Caenorhabditis elegans: one gene and its partner. The protein of the gene in region 1 purifies or fractionates together with the protein of each later gene. This does not show direct contact. Each region holds a gene or a part of one and is shown on either strand. Other genes may lie near its edges.

The links.
Region 2: the proteins of mks-5 (region 1) and nphp-4 purify together in Caenorhabditis elegans (affinity purification with western blotting, with the first as the bait; one study listed by BioGRID). This does not show direct contact.

The regions. Positions count from the first base shown.
Region 1 is NC_003280.10:10,716,409-10,731,513, forward strand, and holds mks-5 (Protein fantom), read left to right. Parts: upstream 1-3,822; 5' UTR 3,823-3,870; coding exon 3,871-3,872; intron 3,873-4,048; coding exon 4,049-4,174; intron 4,175-4,541; coding exon 4,542-4,841; intron 4,842-4,920; coding exon 4,921-5,053; intron 5,054-5,107; coding exon 5,108-5,475; intron 5,476-5,788; coding exon 5,789-6,049; intron 6,050-6,380; coding exon of another isoform or gene 6,381-6,761; intron 6,762-7,417; coding exon 7,418-7,712; intron 7,713-7,763; coding exon 7,764-7,934; intron 7,935-8,171; coding exon 8,172-8,390; intron 8,391-8,572; coding exon 8,573-8,791; intron 8,792-10,084; coding exon 10,085-10,354; intron 10,355-10,507; coding exon 10,508-10,957; intron 10,958-11,004; coding exon 11,005-11,108; intron 11,109-11,154; coding exon 11,155-11,624; intron 11,625-11,789; coding exon 11,790-12,116; intron 12,117-12,537; coding exon 12,538-12,708; intron 12,709-12,759; coding exon 12,760-12,842; 3' UTR 12,843-12,921; downstream 12,922-15,105. Other genes in the region: C09G5.13 (DUF19 domain-containing protein), read left to right, coding at 1,188-1,316, 1,984-2,087, 2,395-2,504, 2,622-2,763, 2,813-2,882, 2,977-3,171; C09G5.14 (C2H2-type domain-containing protein), read right to left, coding at 6,381-6,761; glb-12 (GLOBIN domain-containing protein), read right to left, coding at 13,497-13,577, 13,631-13,858, 14,387-14,486, 14,558-14,643, 14,703-14,969. UniProt on the Caenorhabditis elegans protein: Thought to have an important role in cilia formation and cilia-mediated chemosensation. Involved in the docking of other MKS/MKSR proteins localized to the transition zone of the cilia.
Region 2 is NC_003283.11:11,830,261-11,845,637, reverse strand, and holds nphp-4 (uncharacterized protein), read left to right. Parts: upstream 1-1,909; 5' UTR 1,910-2,012; coding exon 2,013-2,138; intron 2,139-2,186; coding exon 2,187-2,315; intron 2,316-2,359; coding exon 2,360-2,441; intron 2,442-2,835; coding exon 2,836-2,911; intron 2,912-2,960; coding exon 2,961-3,151; intron 3,152-3,200; coding exon 3,201-3,388; intron 3,389-3,557; coding exon 3,558-3,694; intron 3,695-3,755; coding exon 3,756-4,628; intron 4,629-4,826; coding exon 4,827-5,007; intron 5,008-5,049; coding exon 5,050-5,326; intron 5,327-5,334; exon of another isoform or gene 5,335-5,379; coding exon of another isoform or gene 5,380-5,704; intron 5,705-5,782; coding exon of another isoform or gene 5,783-6,096; exon of another isoform or gene 6,097-6,118; intron 6,119-6,252; coding exon 6,253-6,648; intron 6,649-6,827; coding exon 6,828-7,461; intron 7,462-7,506; coding exon 7,507-7,611; intron 7,612-7,617; exon of another isoform or gene 7,618-7,726; coding exon of another isoform or gene 7,727-7,887; intron 7,888-7,935; exon of another isoform or gene 7,936-7,936; coding exon of another isoform or gene 7,937-8,002; intron 8,003-8,064; and 37 more. Other genes in the region: idpb-5 (Intrinsically Disordered Protein, class B), read right to left, coding at 5,380-5,704, 5,783-6,096; R13H4.2 (uncharacterized protein), read right to left, coding at 7,727-7,887, 8,094-8,155, 8,257-8,498, 8,543-8,665, 8,835-8,913, 9,218-9,228; pho-8 (intestinal acid PHOsphatase), read right to left, coding at 9,987-10,091, 10,138-10,272, 10,378-10,497, 10,543-10,962, 11,149-11,304, 11,354-11,446, 11,814-11,993; col-158 (Nematode cuticle collagen N-terminal domain-containing protein), read right to left, coding at 14,610-14,732, 14,780-15,377.

The DNA of each region.
Region 1 (15,105 bases):
TGATTTGTATAAAAATTCCATTTGGTTTAATAAAGTGATTTCTGGAGTATTCTTGATGCATTGTTTTTTTAAGATTCAGAGACTAGAACTTATAGAAGCTCTTAGTACTTTTTAGTTGAATTGTAACATCAATTTTCGATTCCCGCAATTTGCCGGTTTGTCGATTTGCCGGAAATTTTCATTTTAGGCAAATTGCCGGTTTGCCGAATTGCCGTTTGCCGGAAATGTTTAGAGGGATTTTTTATAAGACGGAAACACTTAAAACTGTGTTTTTTTTTGAAAAAATTTTCCAGTTTTTTTCGAGATTATTTGATAGAATTTGCTTACTTTTCAAAATAGATGTAGGAACATTCATAGGATGCGTACAATTTTGCCATCTGAAATTGAAATTCTGAAATTTCCAAAAAAATTAGTGCGAAACCACAGTTTGCAGAAAATTTTCGGCAAATTGCATTCTTTCCGGCAAATTGCCCTTTTCCGGCAATTTGGGCAAATCGGCAATTTGCCGGTTTGCCGGATATTTCAATTCCGGTACTTTGCCGATTTGCCGATTTGCCCTAAATTTCAATGATTTTTCCTAATTCAGTCTAATTTCTTATCTTTCAGAATATATCTCACTTTCATTCGCAATTGTTTCAATCAAATTAATTCGTTTGTTTATTCTTGTTGTTTGACCAAAACTCATGACTCTTTGTTTTTCCAGTTGTCCGACATAAAAGCGGAAAAACCTTCCAAAAGCCTCTCCCGCAACTTTCACAAATTCCCATTCTAGGTGAGTGTTTCTCTCGTTTTCTCCTACAACTCCATCTGTTTTCTTGTGTTTCCGCGCGGGACCCTGTCCCATATCTATAATAAAAGTGTGTCAGTCCCCATGGGGCCACCCGTTGTCGCCTCGGGTTATGAAAAAAAAGAGTCAGTGAATTGAAGGGGGAGAGAGAGAGAAAGGAAGAAGATAACCTCCTTTTTCGGGTTGAGCAGAGCCCTCTGAACAAGGAGAAGAATCCCATTTGGAAACACAGCGACGACCCAACTACAATTCTAGATCCATTACGAGAAGAAGAAGAAGACATCGTCGTAGAAGAGCAACTAAATGTTTTTTCTTCTCACTTCTCGAATCGTCTCACATCTTCATTATCCGAGTCTTCATCGTCCCGAGTGACTTGTCTTCAAAATCTCGGGTTCTTCTGATGTTCCCATCTCGTTCCATATTCCTGATTCTTTTCTTGCCAGTTCTGATATTCGTTGCGGAGGCTGTGGAGAATGAGTTTCATGTCAATCATTGTGTGCTAAGGTGTAAGGATAATCATATGATGGAGGTAAGGAAAATTAAACTCTTATAGTAATAGGTATGCTTTAAGTTTTAAAATTTTTGGTCATGAAAAGCTAAATTATTAAAATTTAGAACCTTTTGTATATTAAAGTTGGTGCAAAAATGACCAATTATCGTAGTATCAGAAAATTCTAAAAACTTTCATATTGTGATTGAATGGCTAAAGTTCTATGTTCTAATATGCAGCATTGATCAAGATTTCTCAAAAAGCAAAATTATTAGAAATTCGGTGATTTACCAAAACTGACAAAAACTCTGAAACATCTGTAAACTTTTGGCGTATAAAGTACACACAATTTTTTAGTAATGGCTTAACGCAATTTTACTGTCTATGCCATGGCTGTGCGGCAACCGGACCATACATTTTTCCAAAACGCTCAAAAATATAATTTTAGCAAAAAAAAACTTTGAAACCTGGTTGCCGATTGCCGAAAATCTCGGTTGCCGCACAGCCATGGTTCATACGCTTATCTCGAAACTGCCGACCTAACCGGAATGCTCAAATCATAAAAAACTTCTTTCTAAAAGGTTTTGCCTGGGAGTTTTCCAAAAAATTTTATATTTCCTTTTTTCTAATGAAAACACTTCATCTTGCAAAAAACATTTAGAAAATTTCTAAACTAACATTTTTAAATTAATAACTTTTCAACCAGATGGACAACGAATGGTCTCACGATTTCACTCTTCCACTTTTAAATCTTCTCAAAACGACTGGCAACGAGACGGCCGCTTTCATAAAGGCCAAGGCTATTTGCACGTATGTTTTCACTTTCGAATACCCCGTTTTGTCCCATATCCGTTTGATGTCTCCGGGGACGTGTTCCGAACAAGTGCAGAGGGTTAGATGATGATGCTCTATGAAATGGGTTATGAGGTGACGAAATTGGTGGTGGTGGAGAATTGGCAAATGGATTCACGATAATGATATTCGTACAGCAATTTAGTTGCACATTACCCAGAATTGGGGTTTTACAACTTAAAAATGTTCTAAAAAAGACAACTAGTGATTGAGATTTTGGAAGCTTTTAAATGTTTCAAGTTGACCTAGTTTTTCTACTTTCCAGAAGCAATCGCTTTCTAGAGATCTGTGTCAGAAAATGCAATACATCACAAGAGGCTTCAATCATTTTGGCCGGTATTCGATCTTGGCACGATGCTTGTAATAATTTGGAAGGTTAGTTTTAACATTTTTCAATGTAACTATAATGGGGAAAATCCGACTAGACCATTTAAAAACCTGAAATTCCTCCACGTTTCCCTGGAGCTTTAAAAAATACCATTTCATTTTCAGAGGTCCGTGCACAATTCCCGTGTTGGAAGGAGAATGGTGAGCGGCTCTCAAGTGTGTGCAGAGATCAAACAGTTCGATTGGAAATGGATATGCAAAAGTTTGCCCGAAATCAGACTCAAGAGAATATTGAAACGATTTGCATGTAAGTCCCGAACAGAAATTGTTTTTTTCTAAATTGGAAAATATTTCAGCGACTTTGAGCATTTTTCCCATTGCTTTATTCAGGAGCACGGGAAGTATTGCGGCTATCGAAGTGAAGTGGTATTGATTTTAAATTTTCTTTAAATTTATGCAGTTTTAGGCAATTTTTTGCCGACTTTCCAAATTCATCTAAACTAATTTTATTTTGTTCCAGATAACTGCTAGAATGTTCGAAAATAATCGGGAGGCAATGTTCAAAATGCTGAAAATTCGTTGGAATACGCTACCAGCTTCATGTAAGTACAATCAATTGCGAAGAGACACCTCATCAAGTGACCGGTACAATAATAACAATGCTGCATCGATCACCATATCGATTATTCTTTTGCTTCTTCCGTTTGTGTTTTGAATTGTTTCTTCTTATCAAGTTATTGTGAATAAATGAGCATTTTTTTCCTTTTATGAGATTTATAAAGTTTTGAACACGGACTATGAGAGTACATTTTTTTATATGAGAGATGTGATGTATATGGGGTTGTCATGTAGGCAAGTATGGAAGGCATGTATAGGTTTTTTGCGAGTCTCCCACTACTCGCCAGTTACTGCCTATTGTAGGCATGCAAAGCGGGTCGGCCGACACGTAGGCAGGCATGTAATCAGGCAGGTAGGCAGTTGTCTAAACCCCACATTGAGGGACTTCTCTTATATTTTGGAAACAATTCCAGCTACTGCTGCGTGGCGGGAAAAAGAAAAGACTCGAGTCTATATATTCACCGGTAGTTTGAAAACTTGTTTGAAATAAGACTAAATTCTCATTACCATGCCGAATACGAGAATGGAGCATCAATTAGGCAGGTGTTCCGGTGCTTTCTCATTTTCTAATCCTCCCGTGACCCCCTTTCTCACTAAACGGAAAGGTTTCCCGCATACAAGCGTGCTAATCAATCCCTCTTTACTTCTTCCTTCCCCATTTCGCCCGTCCTCACATGGTTGCTCATGGCAACCACATGCAAAGTACCCCCCTCCTCTTCGTTTTGAAATCTCTATTTCTCTCATACGTACTTCATGCTAACCTGACGTCTCCAAGGAATTGCAGTGATTATAAAAAATGTGAGTATCTCTTTTCATCCTTTTTTACTTTCCATGGACTAGATTTTGCATCTTCTTTCTAGGTTATCGAAATGTTGTTAGGAGTCTTATTTTAATTGATGAAAAACGGCATAGGGAGAGATAATATTGAGACTTAAAGTGTTGAAACCTCTTATAATAATAATACAAAATTCCAGGGTATCCGCAAGGTATCCTATTGAAAAATGGAGCCGCCCACAGCTGGAAGACCACTTTCACAATGTTGTTGAAGAGCTCAACAAGGCACAAAAGAAGGTTAAAGAGCAGGAGAAACAGATTACAACGTGAGTAAATGTATTCAATTTGTTCCGAATAGAACTTTTACGTAGGCACAAAAATGCCTGTATGTCTTGAAAAAAATACCTACGTCTAATTTGTGTGAATGCGTATTCTAACTGCAAATTGACATTCGATTTTATTTTATTTTCAACTCATATTTCGTATTAAAATAGGTGGAAAATGGAGATTGCTTCAAATTTTTCAAAAACCTTTAGATTCCGTAAATTTGGCAACTTGCAGAAACTTGATTGAAATTTTCCAAAACCTGAAAATATGAAGTTGGTCTGTTTCGATATTAACGTAACTGCTCACTCCATCTTTAATCTGAAGTTTTCGGAAACATCCATCCACAGTAACCATCCTTTGTTCCAGATTCAATAGCAGATTTCGCCGAAGTATGTTGGAACGAAAAAGCCAAAATGAGAAAGTAGTGGAACGTTCGAAATATGACGATGTGGTGAAAGAAAATCAGATTCTTGATATGAAACTGAAAGCAGCCAAACAACAACTTTTGATCTACACAGCACCATCCGCAAGAGCTACAACTGCGTCAATGATGACTGGAAGATCAACTTTTCGTCAGCCACCATCAACATTTCGACAACGACCTCCATTAACTGCTGGAACTACTGGATCTATTGATCGGCCAGGTTCCGCTCCGGTGGCAAGAAAGTGAGATTTTGAATAATTTCTTAGACTGTAAATGTTCTTAAAAATAATAAAACTTAATGCAATGCTGTTTTCTTTTCAGAAAATCTGATGGAGGTGAAAAACTGCAACTTGCTACGGATGAGAAGCTCGCGATTGTCAGATTGAATCGAACTCTCAAGAATAAAAATGACGAAATTACAGAGTTAAAATATACAATTGAAAAATTGAGACAGGTATGCCTACATTCCAATTTCGTTTTTTATTGATTTTATATCTATAACTTTCAGCTAAAATCATCTGTAAATCAGTCATCTCCTCCAACTCGACTGTCTACATCATCATCCTCCAAATCATCTTCCTCCAACAACAATAATGACGGTGAAGGAAAAGACTCAGAACTTGAAGAAATGTCAGAAATGAGTGATGACGAGTCGGGAAGATCCACGCCAGTTATTGAAGAGAAGAAAAAGCCGAGAAGAAAATCTAGAAAATCATCACATCAAGAACCATCGAAAAACCCGATACCACCACCTCGTATCCCAGATCAAACTGAAAAAGTGCTGTTGGATAAGCTGAAAGTGGCTGAGAATGACTTGGCTATGCTGCAAGAGGAATGTGATTTAGTGAAAAAAGCGAACGAGCGGCTCGTGCATCAGTAAGTTTTTATCAATTCGGATATTATTAAAATCCCTTACCAAATTCAAAAATTGTTCAAAAAATACTATGGCATCATTTTTGACAAGTACTTTAGTTTTTAAATTTACACCACTGTAAACCCAATCACGAGTTTGTCAATTGACAACTTTTTCTTGTTAAAGCCAAGGCAAAGGTGATGTTTTCAAATGAAAATGGTTTTATTAAAAAAGTATTTTTGTGAAAATCGTAATAAACACATTTTCACATAATGGACGATATATTTTTGTCAATATTAACCATGCTAGTTTTATTGATTATATGCTTTCTTCCAGATCCCTATCAAAATCTACGGAGTACGGAGCACGGGAAAGTATAGAAGAAAAGAAAAAGATTGTTGAGCTAGAGGAGCTTCTTAAAGAGACTGAGAAAAGAATCAAGGAAAGTGAACACAGACGTCGTGAAGATCAGAAGAAGTTTGAAGCTATGAGATTGCATTATAAAAATAAATACGATGCTGCGAAGAAGACAGAGAAGAAACTTTCGGTAGTGGCGAAGAATTCTAAAGTTGAGGAGGAAAGGATAGAAGAGGAAAAGTAAGTTTTTCTGGTTTTTTTTTAAATGAAAACTGATTTGTGTGAGAAGCTTTTCCAACATTGTTCATGTTTGTAGCATATTTCTGCGAGCACTTGAAAAAGCAAATTGTAAATTTTACCAATTTTATTGGGAGTATTAAATAATTAAATGAAAAATAAATACAAAAATAAAAGTCACCGAAGGAAATACATGTGAAACCGATACAAAAAATATTAGGAAGTGATTAGATAGAGTTGGACTTGCGGAGGTACAGTGGAACACGAGATGAGCTGGCTGTCTTTTCGGTTGTGGTGTTCTTCTCATTGACATATTCTGGCATGTAGAATGGGTTTAAGACGAGCTTGGCTGGAGCAGGAGAAGAAAGCTTGAGTATCCAGCAGATGAAGACACGTATTCCGGGTCATATAACGAATTGGCAACCAGCTGAATTGGGCTTGAAGAACCGGAAGATGGGCCAGAAGAATTGCTGGAAACTCCAGAGTCTTGGTATCCATCAGAAGCGTAGTTACAGTAGGCTTCGGAATAGTGTTCCTCCATTGCCATTTGTTGGCGGAACACATCTTGGCAAAACATCATGAAATCTGCCATTTTCCGAGCATGCTCATCAAGACATGATTTCTGATGAACATTGAGCCGTTTGTTCCGTGGAAAGAATTGGAATCGACCCGCATGGCAATAGTAGAAGTATACAGGAATAGAAGTGTAGTCCATTTTCAGAAGACGACTGAAGTAAGCAAAGAAAAGTAGAGCTAGAGAGCAAACCGACTGGAAGATATAACCAGAATGAATTATATTTTTCTTCCGGTTAACCCAATGGTATGGTACGGTTAACCACACCCCTCGATTTTCGCGTTCCAGAGAGACACACCCTCCCTTACAGTCATCGTCTCCCTTTCCTATAAAGATGTGGAGCTAGAGGAGGTGGGGGATGGTTGTAAATCAAGCACTAATCATGGGAGAGGGAAAAGGGTCGTGAGAATCAAAAACAATTGGGATTTACAATGCTGTTTGTGACTAGGAAATCTAGAACCAAAAATGATATAATATAATTGAATCTGAAGATAGTACGCAAAAATAGATTGCATACAAAGTTATTAATAGAACCGGCCGTAATAAGGCTTAAAAAGTACACACTAGATAATGTTACGTTGAAAAAATCAAATGTTTTTCAAAATTAAACATTTTCAAAAATACTTTCTCTTATTCACAGGGGCTTTTAAATTTCGCCAAGTTCCGGTAATTTACATCTAGTAAAAGTTCCAAAATTTGACAACGATAGAAACAAAAATTGATGTAATAGATTGAAACAACTATCAATTGCTTTTTTGAGAAAAATGAAAAAACTAGTCGAGATATTCAATTTACAGGATCTCTCACTCCCCACCTCCAATGACATTTGAGCCAATTCGAAAACGGCATTCACAGAGTGAAATAAGTCGAATGCGAAGAGCTGACGATGATCTTCTTCAAAAATTATATAAAGAAGTTGCTGATATTCTACATTCTCATGATGTTGGAATCGCTGAAATTAATACTCTTGGAGCTAGTGAAAATAGTCTTGCAAGATGGCAAAAACTGTATTCTGAGCTGTACGAAGAACTCGAGAAAGTCAGAAATATGTTGTTGATTCAATATGATATCAATCAAAAACAAATGAAAGAGGTGAAAATTGTCAATAATTTTTAAAAGTATTTTTAACAAAGCAATTTCCAGATAAAACTGCTCAAAGATGAACTAGACAGGTTGAAGACAGTCAGCGCAGAAATACTTTCAAAATCACGGGAGGAAGTTGAAGAGAGGCAAAAGAAGATATTCATGCTTGAGGAGCAAATAAGAACAATAGCATATTCAGGACAACAGCCTGTTAAGCTATTGGCAAATCAGGTAATAACTTCTAGAACATTTTAAAAGTTGGTTGAACATTTTGGCACTATAGGAGCGGTTTTAAACAGTTTCGATATTCCACCTCAAAACTTTCAAGAGTGTTTTTATGTCAGAGTAACTGTGGTAAACTTTGTTCTGTATGTGCATGGATATACATTTTGGACAGAAGTTGTTATAAAAATTATTAGAGGAAAATATTTAAAAAAAAACCTACTAAAAATATAACTTGTTATTCAGATTAACATTCCAACACCTCGAGTAAACACGGATTTATCAGTAAAACTAATAAATGTGAAGCCATCTCCATCTCTCACGTCCAAGTTTTTCTTCTCTTTGGAATTCTTTGACTTCCAATTAGAAACCACTCCGATAATGGATGCAAAGCAACACAATATGGATTTCACAACGGTCTATGATGTCTTGGTTTCAAATCTTTTGATTCATTATTTGCAAACGGTAAGTTACATTTCATATTTTGTAAAAATGTTTGAAACATGAAGAAGTGTATTAATTAGAAAAAAAATTCGGTATTCAAACTTTCCAAAAAATTTCTTTAGAACTTGAATAATCTGAAGCCAATTTTTTTTAAACGAATTACTCCAATTCCCTTACAAAAAATGCAATAATTTAATTTTCAGAACGGAATAGTCATCGAAATGTACCGACCGGCAAGTGACTGCTACAAGCTTTTAGCCGCTGCCACAATCTCCCTTATTCCCTTGTTTGAGGACAGTGTTCTTCGAAAATTCTGCTCCGAAATTATGCTGAAATCCGTGGATACTGGCGTCGAAATGTGCACGTTGAGATACGAAATTGAAGTTTCACAACCGATTTCTGATAGCTTTAAGAAATTCAAGGTGAGATTGGTTTTTGGAATTCTGTACCTGTTGTATAAATTCTGTAAAACGTTGACTTGTTTTCCTTTGCCGCTTATAAATCTGTTGGCATATGTTCTAGACAAAAAATTTCTAACTGACTAATTATTTGTTATCTCCTGTTCTATTGTATTGTAGTCAATTATTTCCTGACATCGTTAAAATGAACCGAGATTTATAGTGAAGTAGTGAGGTGCAATACCAATAGAGGAAGCACTGTATTTCTTTTTTTATGAACTTATTATTTCTACTCCATTCCAATATTGTTATTCTATAGTTCATCGCAAATTCCCAGAGCCTCCCTTCCACTTCCTGCAGAGTCTATCATGTGTTCTTTCTCCCACGATTGTTGCTGGATTTACAACCATCCCCCACCTCTTCTACCTCCACCTTAAGAGAGACGATGACTGTAAGGGAGGGTGTGTCTTTCTGGAACGCGCAAATCGAGGGGTGTGGCTTACCGTACCTTACCATTGGGTAAACCGGAACAAATATCATTCATTCTGGTTTTATCTTCCAGTCAGTTTGCTCTCTAGCTCTCCTTTCGCTAGTTTCTACAGTCGTCTTCTAAAAATGGACTACACTTCTATTCCTGTATATTTCTACTATTGCCATGCCAGTCGGTTCCAATTCTTTCCACGGAACAAACGGCTCAATGTTCATCAGAAATCTTGTCTTGATGAGCATGCTCGAAAAATGGCAGATTTCATGATGCTTCGCCAAGATGAGTTCCGGCAGCAAATGGCAATGGAGGAATACTATTCCGAAGACAACTGCAACTACGATTCTGATGGATGCCAATCAGACTCTGGAGTGTCCAGCAATTTTTCATCGTCTGGCTCATCTTCCGGTTCTCCGAGCCCAATTCAATCGGTTGTCAATCCGTTCTATGACCCAGAATTCGTGTCTTCATCTGCTGGATCTTCAAAGCTTTCTTCTCCTGCTCCAAAAAATCTTGTCCCAAATCCATTCTACATGCCAGAATATGTCAAGGAGAAGAAGACCACAACCGAAAAGTCAGCCATCTCATCTCGTATTCCACTGTACCTCCGCAAGTCCAACTCTGTCTAATCATTTCTTAATATTTTTGTACCGGTTTCAATATTATTTTCTTCTGTGACTATTTTTTGTATTTGTTGTCTTTCATAATGTTTCTAATAAAAATTGGTAAGATTAAAGACTTTTATGAGAAATACTAATGAGGGAGAGTACATAATATTTAAATATCATATATTCTCAACATAAACCAATATAATTTTTTAAAAACATTTTCAGAAAAGCGAAATGGCTCGAAATATGCTCCCACTGCAACTTGAAAATGAGGATACAGAAGACACTAATTTCGACCCACTGACAATTATGGTGAACCGAGTTGTCGGACTGGATACTTTCGGAAAAGATCCATCAACTGAATTCTGTATCGTCGACGAGTTTTTGTCCTTCTCTCCGTATTTCACCGATTTTTCAACAAGTTCTGAAATAAGATCTAAACGGGATTGCTACATCCCAAAGATTGATATCGCAAGGAATTTGTTTGCAACTTCCGTGAGTTTTTTTTTAAGTTTCTGATTCAGGAGCTATAACTATAACCAGGGATTTCGGCAATTTTTTGCGAACACATTAAAAAACATCTGAAATTTTTATAACTGTGAATTATAAAAAATTGTTTGATTTTAAAGAAACCCATTCAATTTCCAGAGTATCTCCTTCTTCCTAATCGAGAATATTCCAAGACAGGACGGTGTCATTGCCACTTTACACCTTCCACTTCATCCACTTTGCAAGCTCGGTGGATCTATAAAAGGAACATTCCCAATGCTTGACACCGATGGGAGACCAAGCTCTGTATCGCTGGATCTTTGTCTAATTTGGAAACACGAAATCCCATCATTCTTCTTGAAACATGAACCAAAAGAACCACTGAAAGAAGTTAAGGATACTCCGATCCTTCCTCAACCGGTCAGGCGAACATCCAAAGAGTTTGTGGTGACGCCTGTTAAAGAAGCTGAACTTCATGATGCTGAGCCAACTTCCATGCCTCCAAAAGCTCCAGAGCCCACAACTGCACCGCTCAGAAGGTTGTCAACAGATTCATCAGATACATCATTCTCTCATAGCTCAAAAGATCTGTTTAGCCCTCCAACAAATGTAAGAATATTTATCAGCATTTATTTGAAGCCACATTTCTATTTTAGCCCCAAACCTACGACTACGAGATACCCGCAGTTACACCTGCGCTTGTTGATTCCGATGGAGAAGAAGAAGCTGATAGAATTGTATTCGATGATGATGATGACGAGTAATTTTTAATTAATATAGTTATTAAAGCATTTTTTTAATTTCAGAATAGAGTCGGTGTCAGCAGTATCATCCCAGAGAGATCCCGAGCCTCTAGAAGTTCCAGAGCGACAAGTAGAAAACCTTCCTTCTCCGGAGGATACACCAAGACCATCAGACCCCTTGAAACCAAATGGTACTAACGAGAGTAAGGAGTCTACACCAGTGACACAACGATCTGTTGATAAGACGGATGACGTGGCACCTGTAGATCCAGAGTTAGAACCAGAATCAGGGCCAGAACCAGAGCCGGTGGTGGAATCAGAGCCTAACGAGGTAGCTGAAACCGAGGAAGATAGAAAAAGAGAGTTAAAAACCGAAGAGCTCAAGAGCCTTCTTGGAGCTCTCCCTCCAATTGCAAAACCCAGGAATATACCGGTTGGACCAATTGCGTTGACTGAGCAACCAGAAGCTACCAGGCAACAAGGTTCAACAGGAAGAATTTTATTCACAGATCCGTTGCATTTTTCAGTTCCACGTGAGTTGATGATTTCAAATAATTTTTATAGCTTTTCATGTTTTGACACAAATGTTATAACGTGTTCAAAGTCGAATTCTAGTTATTTTATTACTGCATATTAAATAGAAGCCGCAAACCCTCGAATAGAAATTTCTTTTCCACATCCCTATTTTTGAATTTCAGCATCTGAATCCTCGTCAACTTCATCACCACGTCGCGCCGAAAAAGCACCTGTTCCACTGCCGGATTATGAAGGGCATAGTTTGATCAAAGTGCGAAAACCGTTGTCACCAACCGACAAAGATGTACTGGAACCGAATATGAAAGTTTCAATACAATTGGAAACATTTGAACTTGTTCCCGGATCAAGTCTGACTCCATTGACAAGAGAAGAGACGACGTTTTTCGTTGATTGGGTATTTTTGGATTTTACGAATGAGCAGTCGAAGAGTACGATATTTGATTTTCCGAGAAGACCACAAGAAATGGTGGATATTCGATATACAAAAGGTATTAGTTTTTTGAGATTTTTTATGGGAAGTATAAAATACTTATCTGCTTGATATCTATGGCCCCAGTTCAATTCAAAGGTATTGAAACAATTCTTTAAGCAGAAATATAGAACATTCAATTTTAAATATTTTAGCACTTACATTTTTGTGACAATTTTTTGAGATATGAACGTCTAAAGTTGGAGGACCTAGTTTTTGAACATGGTGCATCAAGAGCTCAACTTCAAGAGCTCATATCTCAGAGCTTGACTGAAACATTATTAATTTTTTTAATGTTCATTGAAATGTGGCGATTCAGAGGATGAAAAAATAAAATTCAAAAATTCTTCTAAAATGTTTGGTTTTTTTTTTGAAGTACGTTTAGAAAATAACTTAAATGCCACTCTCTAAAGTTAACCCCGATAATCTCAATTATTCAGAATACACCCTGACGCGTGGTCAACTTTCTCTTCTCGATCAATGGATCCGTGCTAGCATCAAATTTGAGTTAACCATCATCAAGATCAGTCCAGGCGACGAAGAGGAGCTCGGCTTCGGAAGTTTGATTTTAGTGCCAAACAACACACAGAACAAATCGTTTGTAATTGATGGTTAGTCATTTGTCGTAAGTATCTCATTCTTATAATTGAATTCAAATTCAGTTTACGATCGGAGTGGAATTGTGCAAGCCGAGATGACATTGACATTGCATTTCTCAAGAGCATTAATTGAACAATTGACCTGAGAAAATTGAAAAATACGGTTTAAATAATTTGTTAGATTATATTTTCAACAAATTAATAAATATTTTGGTTAAAAAAAAACTTGTTCAGTATCGTGAATTGTGGTTGCTGGAGAGCAAACTAAGCAATATTCTATACTCTTTTTTAACATCGTTTGAAAAATTGGTGAAAAATGAAATTTGCATTTTCAAACTTGACGTCCTACTTACAGCACAAAAAACGCTTAGGTAACTATCATATCTTGGCAAAATAATTACGATTTTAAAATGTTGCCGACGGAAAAATGTATTTTGAATTTTTAGTGATTTGTTAGTTGACTTTTTTTGAATCCTCTTACCGAAATGGAATAGATCCTCAAGAGGATAAAACCTCATATACATAAACTCGAAAAATAATCGGCCTATAACGTAATTGGCTCTGACTTTCAATTCACATAAAAATGTATCTAAACCTAATTCAGCAATGCTATTTTGTCTCCAAAATTGCATGTCTTTGTGTGACGCAATAGCAAAAAAAGCTTAGCTCATTTTTGTGCATTAAATGTGCTACAAAATCAAAAAAAAATCATTTATTCAATAAATTTAATCAGTTTTATTTATCAGTGTTTTTTCAGTGTCAATATGTTTTATATGGTATATCACTATAAAAATATACTTTCAGAATGGATCTTCGAACATTTGCTCTTGAGCTTTTGGTTCATTTGAAACTGCCGTATTTTCAATCTCGCTTTGTTTTTCCTGAAAATGCCAATATCAAATTAACAAATGTATGATATCAACTAATAACATACCGCCACCCTCTTCTTCTTCCTTTCCGAAATCTCGATATGTTGATGTGGAGCCAAGGCTTTTGTTGTTTGTGCACTCTTCTGTTTTGCTCTTTCCAATTCAAATGAGTCAGTCATTTGACTAATTACTGTGTTTAAGAACTTCTTCCAGACGTCTGTGATTTGAGATGTGGTGTAGTTTTGAGCAAATCGCACTTTTTTGTTCTCTTTTCCTTCTGATGATGGAAGCTCCTAAAATCATATTTGTTGGGTGAAAAGGTTTTTTGTTTTACGAGGGGAGATTATGAACTTTTTTAGAAAAAAAAACCAATTTAATTTAAACAATCTTATTTCGAATAGGTATCTACAAGAATTTATAGGAAGAGGATCACAAAGAACTAAAAAATCCGATCTGAAGTAACATTTAAAAATACTTATTTGAAAATATTATTCTAATTTTTTGAAAAAACCCGCAACTATTTTGCCCAACTGGATCAAAAATTGCACCTTTTTTAAAAAGAAAAACAAACATTTTTTTGAAAACAGCTCAAGTAATTTCCTCGCTCACAAACATCCTAATCTACGTTCGGGAAAATTTTCAAAATGCTTCTCGACCGCAAAATTTCTTTTTCGAATTATATAGATTTTTTCAGAAATCAAGCTCAATTAATTCCTTTATTAGAAAATAATTTGATTGAGTTGTACTCCAAATAAACCTTCCAACAAATCAATTAGTTGAACTTTCAAACTAGCTTGACCTAACTGATCCCACAATCTCACCTGTTCACCCGTCAGAAATGGAATTAATCGCTCGATAAATACATTTATAACAATTTCGAAATAGTTCTTCTCCATCTGGTTCTGATTTTGTTCCAAGAAACTGAAAAATCATCAAATGGCATTGGACTATATAATCATACAAAGTGACGGCATTTGCACCTGCGCACTTACCCTTGTCTGACATGACTTCTTCCCGTTTTTCGTACCAATTGCCATGCACCCGTCAGATTTTCAGACGTGCCAAGCATTGACGTGAGCTGGAATAATAAATTTGAGTTCAAAAAATACTCTTAAAAATGTAGTTTAGACAGCTAACCTGCTCCATGAACTCATAGAATCTTAGAATATGCCCTCCGAATTTCGGCATTTTCAGCATCGCGGCTCGCGGAGCCCGATCCACGCCAAACACTTTCTTGAGGTCCGGTTCAATATCATTGACAATATCTAAGAATATAAGACCAACAATATCCTTCGGATCATCTAGCCTTTGCCAAGTTTCACGTAACAGAGTACGGTCTTTTTTATTGAGGGCTAAGTCAAATGGATTTTCAGATTCGTTTCCGACCCAAGATGCTCCGACTTGCTGGAAAATAATTTTTTAAAATGTTCTGTGCGTCTTTAAAGAGTACTGTAGTTCTCTATTCTTATGTACTGTTTTTTTGAAAAGAATGTAAAAAATCCAAAAATTTTTGAGAAATGTTCATCTTCCGAATCAAGCT
Region 2 (15,377 bases), on another chromosome or scaffold:
TTCTTTGAGAAAATGACTCATATAAAATAAAAATCTTTACTCTAACTTTTCAAAAATTAAAAATTAAATTTTCAATGAAAAAAATAAAAAATCCTTTCGCAAAATAGCGAGAAACAAGTGTGGTGGGGCCTGTGAGGCCTTTCGGGTGTTTACTCAACGAAAAAACAAAACAATTAATAGGGGATTATGTTTCACATGCCGGCAATTTAGGAAATAACTATTTTTTAAATAAAATTTAAGAAAAAAACAAATTCGAAAATTAAAATTTCGACCGAAAATGAAGAAACTTAGTTTTTATTTGCCATGTTGAATATATGTTTCACACTCAAAAATTTTCAAATAAAAAAGTTGCGAAGCCAAAAAGTCACAAAAAGCAAACTTTTGAGGTATTTGCGAGTGAGAAGTGAATATGGTGAAAACGATGATTCCGCACCATCAACCGGTGTACGAAGACACTGTTAAATATAGAGAGAAAGAAGACACATAAAGAAATGATGATTCAGTCGGGTTGGCCGGTCGGTCAGTCAGCGGGTGACGAGTGAGCGGAGAGAAGGGTATAAGAACGGACGAGCGGCGGGAATAGAGGACGAAGAGGCAAGGACACTGGTCAATGGAGATGAAGAGACACAGACATTGGGACGGACGGAAGCAGGACGGTTCCCTTCGGGATGAGCAGAGACTCGACAGATGGAGAAGATGACCGAATTGAGTTTGTTTGCCCGACTCCCATGGATTATAAAATTGGGTACGTATGGCCTATGTTGGGGCAACTGCAGCAGCAGCGTGTGAGTGTGCGCCCCGGAAATAAAGGACTTTTATGGAAGGAGTATTGAGAAGATGATGGAAAAGGGACAAAAAGTTTCCCTTTTGTTTTGACGTCTTCTACGTCTTATTCGGAGATTTCGAGGGATAATTCTGAGGGATATGGAAGGACAGTGAATTGATGCATCATCATCATATTCTTATATTGGGTATTGAAATTTAAATTTGAATACGACCGAAACAATTTCTCGTTTCAAAAAAGTGGAATCTGAGTCATAGAGAAGTCTGAATCACGTTTTGTACACGGCAGCAGCTGTTTGTAAACTTTGAATCGCGGGGGTGAACTGAAGTGAAAAAAAAGAAAAAAAACTAGGAAAAATCAGGGAAAGTACATTTTTGAGATTGCATTTTTCTGAGAACCTGAACTTTCTCAGATGATATCAACAACATTATTAATCACTGCAACACGATCTGTGCTATTGTAAAAATATGTTCAATAATAATTTGATTTAGAGTCTATTTTGTCCCAATTTTAAGAGGTTTCTCCTGTCTAAACTTTCATAGACAATTTACGGAAATCTAGTAACTGTTGCCGGCTTATTGAACTTTTTCACTGGAGTTACTAAGATACTTATAGAATTTTTACGAAGTGTGGCCAAGATGTTCCTCAATTCAGCTTGACCCCAGGTAGTAATTTTTAGGAACCTTTCCAGTTTACATTTAAAAAGTTTTGACCAATTAAAAAAAATTAGTTGTGAGTTGTTTCCAGAAAGGAACTGGAGTTTCTCATCCAAAGTGGCTAACCATACTTCGTGGAAAATTGTGATTTATATTTATTTAAAGGATAACGGCATCATTTCAACATTTCAAAATAGAAAAGTACTTAGTTTTCTGTAAAAAAATTTCGAAAAAAAAATCAAGTGATTTGATCTAATCTTGTTCTAACGACGACTCTCAATACAAAATGCAATAGCATAATCAAAACTATTCAGTATATAAACATTTCCCAACAATTTACACATTACATCAAATTAATGCTCAATATACGTAATCCAACGTGTTCCCAGCAGCTGGGACTTCTCATTTCCATGACAACCAGCACCCGCTCTCCAATTCGTATACTCCTTCTTTTCACTCTCTATCGTATTTCCTCTATCGTTCTTCTTGAACGTTTATTTTTTAGTTTCTATATATTATTGCCTAGAAACTAGCTGAAAATACTAAAGTTTGTGGTAACAAAGTCTCGAAAAATGTCGGTCAACGACTGGTATTCGTTGTTTCTGGCAAACCGGCCAGTTGAAATGAAACGTAATGTTTCGAGAGGAACTAAAGCTTTGTGTTATTCAATGTTCATTTCCAATTTGACATCTCCACAGGTATGTGTAAACGATATAATTAATTAATATATGATTTTAATACTTTAGCTGACTGAGAACATTCGATACCAGATTAGTGCTTTTTTATTCGACACGAAGACTTCTCAAATGTTTGGGAGGCAATGTAGAACAGAATGGATTCCAGCGAATAGTAATGGAACTTGTGTTTTTAATGAAGTAGAAATTGTACAAGTTTGTTTAATAACTGGAATATGTTGCAGACATTATATTTTTACTCAATTATAAACAGCAGAGATGTGCTTCTTATTCTTGAATTTGTGGAAGAAGGATCAGACGAAATAAGTAAGTTATTTAATTGTTAAATTTTTAAAGGAACATTTTAAATTTATTTATCATAATGTTTTATTGGCTTTTCATTCAAAATAATATTTGAAAATAGCTTTTTAGCTCCTATTTGTCTTTCAGTCATTATTTTTTTAAATAACTTCTCAATAATTCAGAGAATTTTCCGAATCATTATGACCATATGTTTCAAAATAATGCACAATTTAGTAAATTTATACTAACATAAGTTTTATATCACGATAAAATAAACTCGCATTAAAAATAAACATTTGGAAATCACTAATTGAAACATTTTTCTTCCTTGCATAGGGCAAATACAATAAATAAATTAGATTTTAAACTTTTCTAGATGGAAGAACATTCGAAAACCCGAAAAGTACAAAAATTACAGCGCCTGCCACAAGCGTTGGATGGTTTTCAACGCATATCGAGAAGAAAACGCCCGTAGAAATATCAAACACTAAAATGTGAGTTTTTTTAATTATTGCTCCAACATAATTTTTCTTATTACTTTAGTTTCGATATATTTGGTGGAACTCCAAAACTATTAATTTTTGATAAAGAAACAGTTTTAAAACCAGTTGGAAATGTTGAATGTACATACAACATATTCGAAATGCCACCCATATTCTTCCAATGTTTGCCTGAATTTTGCATTGTTTGCGACAAAGACATTATTCCTGGAATAATCAAAGACAGTTCTGATGGTTAGTTAACAAATATTCCTTTTTTTAATTTTTTAATGTTTTGTGTCAGAATGGTGGTTGAGCACGCCAAAAGAGATGCCAACAATTCCCGCTGCAATTGATGCAATTGTAATTCAATTCAAGAATAATGTACCTGAATTAGAAAAACAAATTACACATGATATTGAAAAAGAATGGGCATTGAAAGAAGGAGGAACTCTTAAACCAAAAGCAATCATAATGGATAGAAAATTGAGAGTGAGTTTTTTGGTGAAAAGTTGGCTAAAAACATGATATTTGCTGTTACACGGAAGGTGCAGTGAAACTTAGGAATCATTTTTACATTACTTTGAATTCGTCCAGGTTTTCAAATATTTTTGCAAGAAACAAGTAATCGTTTATCTTTTTATTTATACTTTATTATTAGATCGGAGTACACAATGGGTACACATATGTCACTGAACCATTCACAGTTGACTTGGAAATAATCTCCTCAAATGCTGGTGATACTCTAAGATCGCGAAAGAAACCTATTGACTTTGGGAAATCATCAAATTGGGAAGAGTAAGTTTTAAAATCTTGTCCTGTCGTAAAAGAAGAATTTTTCATAATTTCATAATTTCAGACAACTGCTATTTCAAGCTGCTGGAAACCCGCGTCTGGCACTTCGAAATCTGTATGCGGATCCAAGAATGGCTATCATATTCTTGCTTGAATACACCTTTCACCGAGAAGACAATCAAAGCCTTAATCAGACTATTCTAATCGGATGGGCTGCATGGACTCCATTCTCAGATGGAGCCTTTTCTGGAAAAGAAGTGGAGACACGAGTTAGCTTTGTTGGTGGTCCACGTCCGAATCCAGAAGGCGTTTTATGTTATAAGAACGTATTGAATCAACCAGACTCCTTGAAGCCATTGAATGAGAAACTTGAAATTTTTGTGGACTTTAAATTTTATGAAAATGGAAGAAGTGTTCACAATACACCAACATCAAGAAGGGCTGCTGACTCTGCAAGAGTTCAAACTGGAAGATCAGGCGATAATGGCCAATCTGCTAGATCAAATAGAAAATCAGTGAAAATAGAAACTCCTAGAAGTCCAGAAAATTCGAATAGATTCCCTGCACTAGTAGATACAGGAAGATCAGTTTCATCAGTAGATGAATTGAGATCAATAAATGAGGATTTGAATAGATTCATAGAAGAACCAATGGAAATTCCAGTTCAAGACGTAGTTGTTGCAAAGAAACCAGTAGAAGAACCTCTACCAATAACATCAGTTTACAAGATTCCTTTTGATGAGCTCAAACCAATAAACTTCCCAAGATCTGCCCATTCCATGTTTGCGAGACAAAACTTCACTCAGTTGAAAGACAGGAACGGATCACCACCAAATACTGAAGATGTGACACTAAAAACCATCATCGATATGAAAAGAGAGCAATTGGACAGACTCATTACATCACATGTATATTTTCAATTTATTGCTTTCAAACAGTAAGTTGAATTCTTAAAAATTCTCAATGACTGAAGTCACTGAACGACAATCATATTTCAATTGAGTAGTTAATTTTCTTGAGCTTGGGGTCAATTTACTTATCGCATAAAATTGTTATATTTTTCTATTCAGACTAGATTTTCAAGGTCAAACGCAACAGTATGTATTTAAAAAAAACTACAACTACAACATTTTAGACTTGCTGCTCCTGATGCTCGCATGATTAAGAAGTTATTTTTCACAATCGGGTTTTACCGATTCCCCGATATTACAACAGAGTCAATGCTTCTCACATCTATGGAGAAAGGAGAACCAACCCTTTTAACCCGACTTGATAAAAATGGGAATTCGGATGTTATAGCTTCACCTGGATTCATAGTAAGATTCCATGTCTTACATTTAAAAAAAGAAACGTTTCAGGCAAAATATATAATCGAAGGAGAAGAAAGCAAGGCTGACTTTTTGGATTTTATGGCTTCTGGTCATGCAACTATTGATGTATGGGATTCAGACTCGTTGATTCACTTGGGATCAACTATTGTGCCAATCAAGAATTTGTATCGAAGAGGAAGGGAAGCTGTTCAGTTGTTTATTCAATGCCCAGTGGTTGATACATCTTTAGACACTTCATCAAAAGCTGGGGCTTTCCTTTACATGAGAGTTGCCAATATCGGATTTCCGTCAGGCAATACATATGGTAATATTTTTCAAAATTATTTATTAAATTAGATAAATAAGTGAAAAAGGAAATTAGTGAGCCCATGTCTCAGTGACAAGCTCGTAAACTGGCTCTGGCCATTGAGTAGCTGTCTCGACTTCTTCTGGTTTATTCTCTTCAACAGTTTCTGGAGTCTCAACGTTCTCAGTGATCTCAACTGGAGCAATAGTTTCTGGGATCTGCTCGATTTGTCTAGCTTCTCTTTGAACCTTCTCGGCGAGCTTGATCTTGAGAGTTTGGAGGGAACGACGCTTACGTCCTCCTCCTCCGCATCCGCAGCATCCGCATCCACATCCGCATCCACATCCGCAGCAGCATGGACGACAGCAAGTGCAGCAACGGGTGCAGCAGCAAGTTCTGAAATATAGATATTATTTGGAAGAAGGTAATAAAATTATAATTGAAAAGTTCATAATTTCAATGAAAACAACAAACCTGCAACAAGTGCAACATCTACGACAGCAGCAACAGCAACGTGGACGGCAACAGCAGCATCCACATCCACATCCGCAACATCCACAACCTCCTCCCTGACGTTTCACTCTTCCATTTGATTCTCCAAGAGTATCAATATCAGTTGTTTTGACATCTGGCAGAGCTACTTCGGTTGTTTCATGTGATCCAGGTAGAGCCAAATCAGTAGTTTCAGAAGACTTCAAAGCTTCTCTAGAGCTCAATGGATGTGCTTGAACTAAATAGGACAAACCAAGAATAGCTATGAGGCTAAGTGTAAAACGAATGGATTGCATGATGAGTTATGGGAACTGATGAAACTTCAGTCGGCTGAGAGTCTTATTTATACAAACCTTAGGTGCCGGAAGACTTCCGGCAGATCCGCGCGTGTCTTGTTTGCACATGTTTGCTTATCACCTAATCGTAATTCATAATCTGTCAAAAACTTGCAGATCTCTCCTCCTCCTCTTCATCGCTGACTACCACAAGATCCAACGTAAACTCTGGACAAGGTACAGTAGTCCGCCGACTGACGTCATCAATCCGGTTAAATGAAGAAGGACCCCATTCCTATCGAATTCACGCAAAACCATTACCTGGTAATAGTGGTGTTGGACTAGATCGGTTTTTGACAGCTCAGAGACTAGATATTCAACAACGGCATGAACAATTGTTCAATGAGAATAGTTTGGATAAGATCAGACAATGGAATGATTTAAAAGAAGGATTCAACTTTTCTGATAATAAAGAAATTGCACAGAAATTCATTTTTGAAGAAGAGCTAGCTGCATACAAAAAGCTTCGATATGAAAGTAAACCTGCAAAACTTCTTGAAGCTGTTTTCAAAGGTTAGATGATTTAAATATTTATTAAAAATACGTCTGAAAAACTGTTCCGAAATACAATGGTTACCAATATTCCATACGCTTTCAGTTTATCTGTAACTTTTTCAATAGATTTGTTTAATTTTATCGATACTTAAATCAAATTTTCAATAACACTCTCGTTCGAATATTTTTGTTTGCAGGTATTACAAGTTGTCACCAAATAAATCCCAGTTTTGGAGAGAAAGTATTTTTTGAATTTCCTCTCGAGAACTACAATTCTGAACCAATCAATTGCACCATTGAATTTGATGATGAAGCTTTGAAACCAGTATTTGATGCAGAAGAATGGAAATTTTACAAAACAGTGAACAAAGTAACAACTCCATCAGAAAAGCAAATGATGAGACAAACAACGGATAGAATTGAGATTTGTCTTCAACCTGGGGATGTTTTATTTATTCCATTTATCTACGACGCTTTCTTTTTCCCAAATGATGCATTCAACATGTACTCAACAAAAGTTGTATTTAGAAGATGGGATACAAAAGAACCACTAGCAATATTGGATCTCCACGTGCATCGAAGAAATTTCCTTCTTCAACATTCAGTTACTTTTATTTGTGAAACATCTGGAAACTGGGAAAAACAATTAGTACTACCACCAATGGCCAGAGACAGAAGAGTTTTGTCATGTCGATGCTCTGATCCGTCTGTAAGACTGACTGTTCGAAATGCGACACTACAACAGATTGTTGGATTCACAACATATTCAGGGGAAACGAATGATCGAAAGACGTTTCTTTTATTGATGTATAGTGATCATTATCAAACAAGGTTGTCGTTTTAGTGGAATAATTTTATTGTAATACAACTTTTCAGATTAATGGCTACCTGGAAAATCACTATTCTTCCATTCTTCAATGTTGATGTTCGTAGTATTGTTGGGCAAACAACTCGTCTTCATTTATTAGTGCACAGAAGAAGGTAAGCCATTTTAGTTAAATTTTATTACTGAGAAAGTATGAGAGTTCGTATAAATGCAAAAAAAAAGAGAAAAAGAGTCGATCGCAGAATCTGAACACTAGAAGCACGCCACTCATTAAGCCCACTGTGCAAAGTACTGACGGGTTTTTCTATCGTACGTTGATGGAAGATAATTGTCCTTGGTGGAGCAATAAAGCTCACGCCAGTTTTTAAAACGACGATCCCAGTACTTTGGTGTTAACCAGTAAGCATCAAGAGTAGTGTGATTGATTAGACCTGAAATTGAATGTTTTAAAGAAAATTTCTACAAAAGCCTGTGCTCACATTAATATCTAGTGTAGAGATAGAGCGGCGAAAAAGGATTAGTAGTACCGTAAACTGCCAAATTGTTCTAAAATAAAGCAACAATTGTATTTGGTAAAAGTAATGGGCACTGCCCTGTCTCTACACTACCTTAGACAGTGGTCAATACCGGTACAAACCTGCCTTGTACATGGAAAGGCCACGAGAAAGGGAAGTGCTCAATGAGTCCATCAAGTACGATCTGAAATTTGAATTTTTCTTTGGTTTAAATAATTTTGATTTGATTGAAAACTTGGCTATTGAAAACATATTTATCTTATTCAATTTGTAGACTATGCATACCTATACGGGGTGTAGGTGTAGTTCAAGTAGCGGTTGAAAGCAGAATCAGTGTATCGACGGTAAGAGGATGGATAGTCATAGTCATACCAATATCCCTTGTAGCGAGTCCAATAAGATCCATAGTTGTTCCAATAATATGGATTTGGAAGATAATCACTGTAGGAATATCTTCTGCTTGGATAGTAGGTACTGCGATAAAGTGGAGAGAAGTAATAGTATTTGTCATACCAGTAGTCATCGTACTGAAATTTTAATTCTCAAAAAATAAAAGAAAGCCATCTCATACCAAATCCCAGTCACGACGCCAGCGGTATGGAGTCGATTGGTAGACAGTATGCCATTGTGGACGGTACTTATCCGAGTAACGGAAGTGAGCGGTCAAGTCTGGGACTGATGAAGTGCGGGTGACCTGGAAAAATGATGCATTTGTTTTTGTTACCTTCACGCGTGATCTCTTAATTGGCACCTGGTGCCAACGGGGCTAAAGTGATGATTGTGTAACATTATTGAGAGAGATAAACCAGAAGTTGAAAGGTTTTTGATCAGTTCATAGTTAATCAGGATTTAAGTGAACTTACGTAAAGACGAGAGCTCGGTTCAACCGATCGAGAACGGACAAGTGCGCTGCGAGAGCGCACCAAGGCGTAGTCGGTCATACTGTAATTGTAATTGATAATTTTAGTATTGTACTAGTACTAGATTGAAATAATAAAAAATTACAAGTGAGAGCTTAAATTTGATCAAAATACATAAATAGGAGTTTCATTGCATTTCCCGAAATAAATAAAAGGTACCATCAACATTGCGCTTATAAGACGATCTTTGTATTAATTTTAGTTTTTTAACCTTCCACACCTTACAAAATAGAAGTAGCACAAACTAAAAAATAAATCACACTTTTTGATATCCAATGTGTGAACTACAAAGTTCAAGTTTTAACAAAAATTAAAAGAAACTAAACCTGGAAACCATTTGGCAGGCGCCTGAGTCGGTATTTCTGAATGGCAGATGTGCCCCTTGTGTGCTCTCTTGTCCTCTTCTATTTTCTATCTTTCATGCCTCTTCTTGATTCCTAATCTTTTGCGAAGGCGGAGGAGGACGATGTGCCAGTTGTTTGGTCCCCGCGGGAAGAAAACAAAAAATAAAAATGCTTGGATTCCAACACCTGGTCGCTCTTTTTCTCTCCCACACTCTCATCTGGTGGGGATTCAGAAGAAAACAACACACAAAAAATGAAGAATAGATGAACAATAAACAAAATGATAGGAATTACGTTCTTTATCTGTTTATTTTCAGCGAGCATGATGGAGTGCCAGATGATTTACTGAAAGTGTATACAGCATCTGGATGTATGAAAGTTGTGGATTCTGTGCTCACTGAAAGAACACCTACAGCCACAATTGATTTTACACCAAACTTTATTGGTAAGCCTTTAATACAACAAAATGTGATATACATATGAGCACTTGCGTACTGTCAAATCAAAAATGAAAACGTTTCTATTTACCCGTTAAATGTTCAGAAAATTATTTACAATATCTAAAAGTGCAAAGAGCAATACCGTTATTCCACACAAAAATAGAGAAAAATACACCAAGGATATTTGTCGTCAATCTTTACTCAACTCTTTTGGGTTTTCTAAATTTGCTCTATAAAACATTAACCATTTAAAATGTAAGATAGCAATAATTTATTTAATGGTTCCATGGGAACCAATGTTAAGATCTAGTTCATTTTGAATAAAATAAACTCGCTAAGAGAAATGGTAAGAAAAATGATAAAGAGTTGAACGTGTAAGACGAGTTTCCACATGCTTTGAGAGGAGTCCCGCATAACTGAAAATATGCGAACTTTGGTCTATAATGAGAAGATTATGCTTACCGTCATCATATCCGAGTAGTTTGTAACTGTCATATTTGAAAAAGCCACTGCCAATTGCGACACTTCACAAGGTTCCGGGCATCGGGAAAGCGGAATTCTGTATGGATCCGATGTAGTCTCATTTCGATAGTAGAGCTGAATAAATTAAAATGAACCATCAGCATTAATTTGAAAGAAAATATAAATAATTTTTTGTTAACCAAGTTTCCTAATAAAACTTATTTCAATTGAACAACTAACCTCAGAATAAAATTTTCCGTTGTCTGAATAAACATGCATGATAAGTGCAGCCGCATAAGGAACCATCATCTCATTTGAAGCACGGAATGCATTGAGAAGTGCAAGAAGAACACCATCATGCTGAAATTAATATAATAGATTTTCTCAGTTTCCATTAGATTTTACCGAAGAATAAAGAAGCATTCTCTGATCATTTCTGCTCTCAGAAACTGCAATTGCATTTTGAATCCAATTGTAAAGAACGGAGCCTCCTTCAAGTTTTCCTTTCTCTTCTGAATTAAATAGATTCATCATTCGAACGGTCCTCATTTCAGTTATAATGTCCATTGAAGTACGATTGTCATATTGAGGCCAGGTTTGTGTAACCCAATAAGGCTGTTTTGCAGTCATGTTATGAATCAACTCTCTTTGTATATCGAATAATCCATTAATATCCATATATGAACAGTGTTTGAATCCTGTAGTTTGAGAAAGTTCACTGAAGAAGTCTGCATACTTAACACTATAATAAGCGTTTGATTCTTGATCGCCTTGAGCCACTAAAACTTCATGACGAGCACATTTTATCGCAGTTGGTTTGCACACCTGAATCAGTTTATCTTAGTAAATGTAGTCTATAATGAATAGTCACTCTCCGGAAATAGAAATTGGGCTTCAAAATGTTTTATCAGTTGTTCTTACGTACTTTCTAATCTCTTTTGTCTTTCTGACGCATTTGTGATAAAACCTCATAAGAACAACTTTAGTTTAAATCTAAAAATCAACGGTTACCAAATCAGGTTCTCCTGGAGTAGATGCATGTACTGGAAGAGGTTGCCAGTCTATATCTGAGCTCCATTGATAACCACCAGAAGCTGGGTATAGCCCGTAAAGAAATGCTTGTGCAGATACCAAAGCACGATCAGAATCGGAAGAGCGCAGGTAGACCTACAAATTTCAAGAGTTTAATTTACAGATATGGTATTGAGTTTCTTACTTCTTTCACTGAAAAATTAGACGGAATAAATGAAGAGTCCACGTATTGGTGTCGGAAGAACTCTCCGAGCTCGTGAAGTTGTTGCATTCCAATCTAAAATAAATAGGTTTTTAAGGCAAAGTAGCGCCAGTGAAGGTTTTGTCAACGTGTATTTGAAATCAATCAGAAAAACTAATTAAAACACTATAAGATATTTGAGATTTTCATAATTTATAGTCAGTTCTAAAAAACTATATCCAAAATTTATAACCAAAAATTTTGACACTTTTCCTGTGATATTTGGTTATTTGAGCGTCACTGGGAGATGTTAAACATTTTTTCTGCTCCGTTTTTTAGGTCACTCTTTATAGCTGAAACAAATTAAATGTAATTATAATTTTATTGTGATATGATAGAAGATCGCGTAAGAACTCACAAATATTCAACAAGTACATTTCTTTAAAAGTTTAATAAAACAAACCGAAGTCAACTGCCCCCATCCCCTTGACCAAGCTTTTTCTGTGTACTGGTCATTTGGATACGGTAAGTGTAGAGGAGCACGGTCTCCATGTCGCCACAGTGCTTGTACAAACTCAAGTTTCCTAGATTCTATATTATTGAACACGGCAAGAAATATGACAAGTCCTTGTATCAACATCATCACGTCGTCTAGAAATCTCTGCAAAAAATTGAAAAAGTGAATACCGGACAGAAAAGTCGCAAAAAAGGGGACGAGTTCTCATGCAGGTCTATCAGGTTACATACAAGAATCGCACGCTATCTGATGACGGAAATTCTGATTCTTTTGACGTCGTCGAAATTGAGACGAGTATGTTCCAAAATAGAGCAAAAGTGCGGTGTAGTTGGATTTAAATAGAAAGTGAAAGTGGGGAGGAGTCGAAAGACTGTTAATTGTATGAAGTTTTGTTATCAGTTAACATTTTACTCCCACGGAAAAAAATGATTTTTTATCTAAAACGAATACTGGGTTTGAAGTTCCCGAATTTGGAAACAAATACGGAGAATTTTGTCGATCGGTCTTGAAATTTTAGTGCAGCAAAAAACAGTAGTGCCCGCCAATGTTCTATTCGCTGGTAGCTTATCGATGATGTTTGTGGTATTTTCTAGCATTTTTTACAAAGTTATGTATTTTCGAATATGCTACCTCACCTAGCACCTCGCGAGTTTATTTATGACTACTACTCTTTGAATCCATGTAACTGAATACATTTTTATTCAACCCATTATAATCAAAAAATAATCTACATACATCTATTGCTTAATTTTAATTGTCATGTTCTTAAGTCGTCAGGAAACTTACATTAGGGACACAATTTTAACTTGCAGAATGCAATTATGATCGAATTGTTCCGAATATTGCTTTTCAGCAAAAAAATTGTTTGAAATATATATATTGATAAAGAAATGACAATAAATCGAAAGTTAGGAAAGATCATAAGTACATTTATTTCAAAAAACGAACAAATACATCCAAAAAATGAAGCTCACAAAATTGATACGGTCGAAAAAACGCAAAAATGTTATCTCTCCTTGCATTTTAATCTTCTTAGACATACATCAGAGCCATGAAGAAAATGTTCAGTATAGTTGCAAAAATAGTTGATTCCACGTGCAAACTAGGCGCATCCAGGCGAGAAATATCCACAAAGTCATTTAAAATTCCAAATTTCACAAACTCATCCGATTAGTACCCCCGCGTTTTCATGACCTCACGTGTTGTTTCAGGAACAAAGAAGCTTGTCGTTTCTGTTGTGAATACCAATACATTGAAGTTAGAACGAGGGTTTTTGGTTTACGGAAAGTCTGAAGCGCCACGGATTACGCAGAAGTTTGTCATACAAATTCCATCATCTGATGAAGCTATTAGAAAGGTTTGTTGAATTTATATAATATTGAATGTTAAAGATTTTTAGTTTGGATCGACAGTAATTTCCAAACATTTCAAACTATTATTTTAACTAAAATAACAAGAATTTTTTAAAGTCAAAATCGCTCACTAAATTTAATTTTTTTGGGGCATGAAACTGTGATTTTCATGATACTTCTTTATTTGGCTAGCATGCAACAGACAACTTTCAGAATAAGGTAAAAAATCCGTTCAAACTAAACACATCTAACATTAAAATAAATAACATTTTTTCAAAATTTGTGTACAGTAAGAATGTTTTTGTTTACTGTTATTCATTGTCATGCTAGCAAATAATTAAAATTTGAAATGAATCAGAGAAACAACAGATAACAAAATTCAAATTTAGACTATAAGGAGGTTTTTTTTCAATTTGAAAACAAACCGATGGACTGAACAACTCAAATGTATGTGTGTTCTCTGTGTTGGTTTCCGAGAACTTTAAGCATTTCCCTGACAGTCCTAATAAGTCAATGAAAAATATTCAACTTCTTAGAGTGTGAAAAATTTGTCGAAGAAGTTTATGTATAAAATAACGAAGTACAACTATTTTCCTGGTAGAATAGTCTAAAGCTCTTACAACAATCATTAATATTATAGAAACTGTTCATCTCAATTGATTTCAATTTTACATAGTTTGAAAAAAAAACAAAGTGAGGTCCTTTAGAATATGGCGTTTTCTAGGGTTATAAACCTATTTGGATATTGTATAATTTAAGCTTATATGAGAAATCCTTATTTAAATGATTTTACAGAAAAAAAACCAATCTGGGGTCATAACCTTTTTTTGACGAAAACCCTTCTTTCAGAGAATCCCGATAAGAAACCCATATGGTTTACCAAAGACATTCCGAATCACCACATCAAATTCTGATATTGTAAAAATTACGGATAGTCTGTTGTCAGTTCCACCTATGGGAAAACTTCCATGTGAAATGTATTTTGTGAAGAATACACATCTTCAAAAGAATATAGAGGTAATTAACTAATCATTTAAATATTTACATTCTAGTATTTCAGACATTGTTGTATATATCAGATGCGGAGACTTATGTACAAGAAGAAGCATATTCAATCACACTTGCATTCGAAGCTTCCTGATTTTCAAATTGTCTCATTGCAAATTTTTATTTTTTGTGATATTCCGGTTGAAATCTTGAAAAATGAATTCTTTATTGAAAGACTTTTGGCTCGAAAAAAGTGACGACTCAACCACTTGAAGGCTCGACTCAAACCCGCTGATGCTCGATTTTTGAAAGTTGCTCATGATAGGAATACAAGTAAAATAGTGTGAAAAATTGAAAAAATAAAGAAAGAAATGATAAATCAGCAAGATTAAGTGTCTCGCTTTTACTTCTTTCCATAGCTGTTTTGGGCATGTCCAGTGCCACCAGAGTATCCACCGGTTCCAGCAGAATAACTGGCTCCTGGAGCATTTGATGGGTTGTGGGATGGAGCAGAAGCGTAGTTCTCCTGGAAAGTTTTGAAAAGTGTTATTTAGATTCTAATGATTATCCTACCTTTGGAGCGTTTCTGTCTGGGCATGGACAATAGGCAGCATCGTCTCCGACCTTTCCATCTTCTCCTGGCTTTCCTTCCTCTCCTGGTGGTCCACCTGGTCCTTGGAATCCGTTGATTCCGTCTGGTCCTGGTGCTCCTGCAGCTCCAACTGGTCCATCGTTTCCAGCGTCTCCTTCTGGTCCTGGTGGTCCAGAATCTCCTGGTGGTCCACGTGGTCCCTTTCTTGGTGTTGGTTGCTCGACATCTTGTCCTTTTTCTCCATTCGATCCTGGCTTTCCATCGTCTCCTGGTGGTCCTGGTGGTCCCATCTCTCCTGGACGTCCTGGATATCCATCGGTTCCTGGAGATCCTCCAGTTCCACGTGGTCCACGCATTCCACGGAGACCTGGCTTTCCACGCTCTCCTGGAGATCCTGGCTTTCCTGGAGCACAAGTAATACATCCATTAAATGGAGCATTTTGTGAATCTTCAGCATTCTCTCCTGGGAATCCATCTTGTCCATCAATTCCTGGAATTCCGTCAGGTCCTGCAGATCCTTGTGGTCCTGATGGTCCAGCTGGACATCCTCCGGTTCCGAGAGCATCGTCTCCGTTTCCA